2 linked regions of the Macaca mulatta genome follow. The protein of the gene in region 1 purifies or fractionates together with the protein of each later gene. This does not show direct contact. Links are inferred from orthologs where the notes say so. Each region holds a gene or a part of one and is shown in the gene's direction. Other genes may lie near its edges.

Region 1 (2,369 bases):
AAGGTCAGGAGGTCGAGACCATCCTGGCGAACACGGTGAAACCCCGTTTCTACTAAAAATACAAAAAATTAGCTGGGTGTGGTGGCGGGCGCCTGTAGTCCCAGCTACTCAGGAGGCTGAGGCAGGAGAATGGCGTGAACCCGGGAGGCAGAGGTTGCAGTGAGCCGAGATTGCGCCACTGTACTCCAGCCTGGGCGACAGAGCCAGACTTTGTCTCAAAAAAAAAAAAAAAGTCTTTTTTTAAGACTGGGCACAGTGGCTCATGCCTGTAATTCCAGCTCTTTGGGAGGCCGGGGTGGGCAGATCACGTGGTCAGGAGTTCGAGACCAGTCTGGCCAAACTGGTGAAACCCCCATCTCTACTAAAAAATTAGCTGGGTGTGGTGGTGGGCACCTGTAGTCCCAGCCACTCAGGAGGCTGAGGCAGGAGAATCGCTTGAACCCAGGAGATGGAGGTTGCAGTGAGCTGAGATCATACCATTGCAGCCCAGCCTGGGCGACTGACAAGAGTAAAACTGTTGCAAAACAAGAAAAAAAAAGTCTTTAAGCTGAATTTGAATACTCTTTACTTACTATATGTATGCCACACTATTAGCTAAAAGGACTGTTTTTTCTTTTTGCTAGGAGCCGGTGAAACCTGAAGAAGGCAGAGATATGGCAAACAGGATTGGTGCTTTTGGGTACATGGAGTGTTCAGCAAAGACCAAAGATGGAGTGAGAGAGGTTTTTGAAATGGCTACGAGAGCTGCTCTGCAAGCTAGACGTGGGAAGAAAAAATCTGGGTGCCTTGTCTTGTGAAACCTTGCTGCAAGCACAGCCCTTATGCGGTTAATTTTGAAGTGCTGTTTATTAATCTTAGTGTATGATTACTGGCCTTTTTCATTTATCTATAATTTACCTAAGATTACAAATCAGAAGTCATCTTGCTACCAGTATTTAGAAGCCAACTATGATTATTAATGATGTCCAACCCGTCTGGCCCACCAGGGTCCTTTTGACACTGCTCTAACAGCCCTCCTCTGCACTCCCACCTGACACACCAGGCGCTAATTCAAGGAATTTCTTAACTTCTTGCTTCTTTCTAGAAAGAGAAACAGTTGGTAACTTTTGTGAATTAGGCTGTAACTACTTTATAACTAACATGTCCTGCCTATTATCTGTCAGCTGCAAGGTACTCTGGTGAGTCACCACTTCAGGGCTTTACTCATTAACAGATTTTGTTGGCATAGCTCTGGGGTGGGCAGTTTTTTGAAAATGGGCTCAACCAGAAAAGCCCAAGTTCATGCAGCTGTGGCAGAGTTACAGTTCTGTGGTTTCATGTTAGTTACCTTATAGTTACTGTGTAATTAGTGCCACTTAATGTATGTTACCAAAAATAAATATATCTACCCCAGACTAGATGTAGTATTTTTTGTATAATTGGATTTCCTAATACTGATATTTGTCATCCCCAAAGAAAGTGTATTGGTTTTTTAAAAAAGAAAGTGTATTTGGAAATAAAGTCAGATGGAAAATTCATTTTTTAAATTCCCGTTTTGTCACTTTTTCTGATAAAAGATGGCCATATTACCCCTTTTCGGCCCCATGTATCTCAGTACCCCTATCTGGAGCTGGGCTAAGTAAATAGGAATTGGTTTCACGCCTGAGGCAATTAGACACTTTGGAAGGTGGCATAACCTGTCTCACCTGGACTTCAGCATCTGGCTCTAATTCACAGTGCTCTTCTCCTCACTGTATCCAGGTTCCCTCCCAGAGGAGCCACCAGTTCTCATAGGTGGCACTCAGTCTCTCTTCTCTCCAGCTGACTAAACTTTTTTTCTGTACCAGTTAATTTTTCCAACTACTAATAGAATAAAGGCAGTTTTCTAAACTTCGTGTATCCTGTTGTTTGTGTTGCTCTCTCCAGGGCTGGGGGCAGGAGGATGCAAGGACTTCCTGGCCTAGCTCACCCTGGAGAGGTTTGTTCAGGGTGCAAAAGACTAGGTTGTGCCCCACCTCCCACCTACCCAGCAGCTAATCTGGTCCCTCCCAACAACATGGAAATGATTACCCTGTACCGCATTCTAGTTCAGATTTGGGGGGAGGGTGAATGCAGCCTACTGAGGAGGCCAGAGAGGGAGGACTCAGGCCGCGTTTCCTTGGCCCTGACGAGCTCTTGGGCTCCACTTCAGGAAGCTGGGGCAGAGCTTCCAGGACTCTGCCCTGTTAGAAAACCCGCGCAAGGGCGGTGCCGCTTTGGAGACAGGGAGGAGGGAGACCGGAAGCCCATATCCCTCTGGCTGTCCCCTGCACTGCCGGTAACATGGCACAGGAGAGGAGGGCTGTTTGCGCACCGGCAGCTGCTGCCGCCGCCCACCAGCCTTCTATGCC
Region 2 (4,010 bases), on another chromosome or scaffold:
AAACTAGTGCTGGACAGACGGAGGCCTAGCACACTGGTTACGAGCCCTAGCAGATTCCTGTCCCCACATTGCGCCAGGAGGGGTCGCTGCCCAGGGATACCTACAGCCATACTCGAGCTGGACAAGGCGCACGCTCTTGGTGGAAGCAAACACGTCCACCACCGCGTAGAGGGGCTGCGCAGCTGGCAGCCCCCGGGCGCTGGGGCCCATGTCCTCGCCGTTGATGATGATGTGCATGTCGGCCGTGCCATCGGGGCGCGGGCAGAAGAGGACGCCCAGGCGGCTACGGCGCGCCGTCGGAGGCAGCACGTTCAGCTCATAGAGCTGGTCCAAGAGATGGCTGTAGAGCCCTGGCCGACTGCGGCCCACCAGGCGGTCCCGGGGAATGCGAAACTGCTCAATGCGCAGATATGGTTCCACCAGGAGGGTTGGAGGTCGGCTGGGGGCCGCTGCCTCGGCCTCCGGGCGGCCCTCCCGGGGCACGCGGTTGTGGTGGCGCGTGATGGCGAAGACCCAGGTGTGGCCCAGGTTGACTAGGTCGGGCAGAGAAAACTCGGGAACGGGGGCCAGACTGGCGGGGTCCAGCGCCGTCAGACCGAGACGCAGATGTCCGCACCAGCCCAGCTCTTTCTCTTCGATCTCGACCAGGAAGACTTGGCCCGGGGCCAGGGGCTCACGGCTGAAGCACACGCCGTGGGCGAAGCTCTCCACGCGTGTGGCCCGCGTCCCAGAGGGGTCCACGCGGATGTTGTCACCGTGCACCCAATGGAAGCGGGTGGGAGGGGGCTCCGGGCGCGCAGGTCCCCAGAGTGCACCCGAATCCACGGGCTCGGAGGCAGCAGCCATCTCTCCGCCATAAGGCAGGCTGGCGGGCGCCGGGGGCTATTTTGGGCGGCGGGCTCAGATGGTGACCGCAAGGGGACCTTGTAAGGCATTTCCCCCCTGCCTCCCTTCCCCGAGCCTCTGCCCGGGGGTCCTAGCGCCGCTTGCTCAGCCATCCCTCCTAGAACTTGGCCATCCACACCCGGATCATCTGATCGCGTGCTCCCGGGCTACGATCCGCGAGGCCCGCGGACCTTGACCTGGCATTGACCGCCACCGCCCCCCAGGCCGGTAGGGACCAAAGAAGGGGCGGGAGGAAGACTGTCACGTGGCGCCGGAGTTCACGTGACTCGGAGTACACATGACTTCCAGTCCCCGGGCGCCTCCTGGAGAGCAAGGACACGGGGGAGCAGAGGTGAGCTGGCACCGGAGGCTGGAGGGGATCCCCGAGCCCGGGATCGGTGCGCGGTAGAGGAAGCTTGAGGGTGGGAGCTGGCGCTGGGGCCGGGGCTTCCCTCGCGGAGGCGCCGCCAGCTCCTCCCCGGGTGCTGCTTCACGGAAGCGCTGAGGAGCGAGGCAACAGCCCCTCTTCTGCCTCCCGTAGATGATCCGAGCCGCGCCGCCGCTGCTGTTCCTGCTGCTGCTGCTAGTGTCCTGGGCGCCCCGAGGCGAGGCAGCCCCGGACCAGGACGAGATCCAGCGCCTCCCCGGGCTGGCCAAGCAGCCGTCCTTCCGCCAGTACTCCGGCTACCTCAAAGGCTCCGGCTCCAAGCACCTCCACTACTGGTCTGCCGCCCTGCCTCCCGGGCGGGACTGGGAGGAGAGATGACGGATGAGGGGTGGGGGGTAGTTCTGCAGACCCCTGAGGACGCCTGGGAGCCGGGAGGGCCGGAAAGGACCCCTGCAACTGCACCAACACTGCCCTGACACCCCTTCCCAGGTTTGTGGAGTCCCAGAAGGATCCCGAGAACAGCCCTGTGGTGCTTTGGCTCAATGGGGGTCCCGGCTGCAGCTCCCTAGATGGGCTCCTCACAGAGCATGGCCCCTTCCTGGTGAGTGGACAGCAGGGGTAAAGCACAGTTCCTAAAGCAAAAGGCTGGGGAAAGGGAGAAACGGACTTTGTGATTTACCAGAAAGTTTCCTTCCTTCTAAGTCTTGGGATTTTCCTCTATGCCATTGGCTTTGCTGCTTGTACCTCTCAGGGGTTTTGCCCACATGTAAAGTGCCTCTCACGGTGGCCCTTTCCTTCCACCCAGCTGGCCCTTGGGACTTACTCAGCCATCTCTTTCCTCCTCAGGTCCAGCCAGATGGTGTCACCCTGGAGTACAACCCCTATTCTTGGAATCTGGTATAGCTGGAGCTGTGGGTCCTGTGGGGGTGTCTGGGCACTTGGATGGAGTGGCAGTTGACTAATTTTTCCCTCCCTTCTAGATTGCTAATGTGTTATACCTGGAGTCCCCAGCTGGGGTGGGCTTCTCCTACTCTGATGACAAGTTTTATGCAACTAATGACACTGAGGTGAGTCTGGTGCCTGCCCATCTGCCCCAGGCTCCCCAGTCCTCCATCCATGGCATGATGCTGGGAGAGAGAGCATGGCCTTGGAGTCCACTTTTCGCTCTGTCATATGCTTGTGGTATGGTGGCCAGTCACTTCCTCTTACACAGACAGGGTGGGTTGATGTCATTATCTCTGAAGTTCTTTCCAGTTCAAATACCAAAGCTTCCTGATTCCCTCTGTCTTGCTCCCCCATCCCCAGGTCGCCCAGAGCAATTTTGAGGCCCTTCAAGATTTCTTCCACCTCTTTCCGGAGTATAAGAACAACAAACTTTTCCTGACCGGGGAGAGCTATGCTGGCATCTACATCCCCACCCTGGCCGTGCTGGTCATGCAGGACCCCAGCATGAACCTTCAGGTGCAGGGCAGCTGCAGGAGGGAAGGGAGGCACCTTGAGGCTGTGGCCTTGCAGTTAGCAAGGTCAGACTGGTCAACAGCCCCATCCAACCCAGCTCCCTGCATACCCTCCCCACCACCAGCTGCCCTAGGTCTGTCTAGTGTGCCTCCCACAACAGGAAACTCATCTGTCAGGCTGCCAGCTCTGTGCTTTGCATTGAGTGACTTTCCACACCCAACCGCCCCCATAAACCACCCTGGGTTTCAGCTTCCGGATTGCTGAAGGTCTGGGTGTTAGGGTGAGGGAGGCTCCTCCTCTTCGCCCTCCACATGAGCTGAGCACCCTGGGTGTTTCACAGGGGCTGGCTGTGGGCAATGGACTCTCCTCCTATGAGCAGAATGACAACTCCCTGGTCTACTTTGCCTACTACCATGGCCTTCTGGGGAACAGGTATGGGATAGGGCAATTGGGCAATCTCTAGGGTCACATGATCTCGAGTCTGTCCTCCAGGCACATGATATGACAGGCCCAGCCCAGGTTTATGAGCAGCAGGTGGGTTGCAGAAAGAACACAGTGCTGAAAGGCCAAAGAATAGAGATCAGATTTTTCTTTTTTTTCTTTTTTTTTTTTTTGAGACAGAGTCTCACTTTGTCATCCAGGCTAGAGTGCAGTGGCGCGATCTTAGCTCACTGTAACCTCCACCTCCCAGGTTCAAGCAATTCTTGTGCCTCAGCATCCCAAGCAGCTGGGACTACAGGCACGTACCACCACACCTGCTTAATTTTTTTGTATTTTTAGTACAGATGGCATTTTGCTGTTGGCCAGGCTAGACGCGAACTCCTGGCCTCAAATGATCTGCCCGCCTTGGCTTCCCAAAGTGCTGGGATTACAGGCGTGAGCCACGGCGCCCAGCCAGAGATCAGATTTTAAAGGAACTAAGGAGGCCTGTCTGTATGACCCTGGGGCACCTCTTTGGGAGCTAGCTTAGGTGACGTGCAGACCATACCCTGTGATACCTTTCCTAGTCTCCTAGGGTCAGGGAGGTTGGTGGGAGGTGGGGGTATGCTCGCCTCCTCTGCCCTCCTCTTCCCACCAGAGGCTGATGCACTTTTCACTCTCATCTCCTACAGGCTTTGGTCTTCTCTCCAGACCCACTGCTGCTCTCAAAACAAGTGTAACTTCTATGACAACAAAGACCCGGAATGCGTGACCAATGTGAGGTTCTGCCGTCACTCTGCATCAGCCCTCCCATCCCTAATCCCAAGAATGGGACCACATTCCCTCCTTGGGGACTCCT

What was found. Proteins that work in one complex are often made in the same cells at the same time.
Region 2: the proteins of RHOA (region 1) and CTSA purify together in Homo sapiens (co-immunoprecipitation; 4 studies listed by BioGRID and IntAct, counting the BioPlex papers as one, with this or other methods). This does not show direct contact. The link is inferred for Macaca mulatta from reciprocal best matches to the Homo sapiens genes RHOA and CTSA.

Annotation. Positions count from the first base shown.
Region 1 is NC_133407.1:112,801,300-112,803,668, reverse strand, and holds the end of RHOA (transforming protein RhoA), read left to right. Parts: intron 1-413; exon of another isoform or gene 414-623; coding exon 624-797; 3' UTR 798-1,869; downstream 1,870-2,369. UniProt on the Homo sapiens protein: Small GTPase which cycles between an active GTP-bound and an inactive GDP-bound state.
Region 2 is NC_133415.1:98,684,293-98,688,302, forward strand, and holds the start of CTSA (lysosomal protective protein precursor), read left to right. Parts: upstream 1-1,194; 5' UTR 1,195-1,237; exon of another isoform or gene 1,238-1,307; intron 1,308-1,426; coding exon 1,427-1,608; intron 1,609-1,762; coding exon 1,763-1,874; intron 1,875-2,119; coding exon 2,120-2,170; intron 2,171-2,253; coding exon 2,254-2,340; intron 2,341-2,578; coding exon 2,579-2,734; intron 2,735-3,071; coding exon 3,072-3,163; intron 3,164-3,843; coding exon 3,844-3,928; intron 3,929-4,010. Other genes in the region: NEURL2 (neuralized-like protein 2), read right to left, coding at 105-846. UniProt on the Homo sapiens protein: Protective protein appears to be essential for both the activity of beta-galactosidase and neuraminidase, it associates with these enzymes and exerts a protective function necessary for their stability and activity.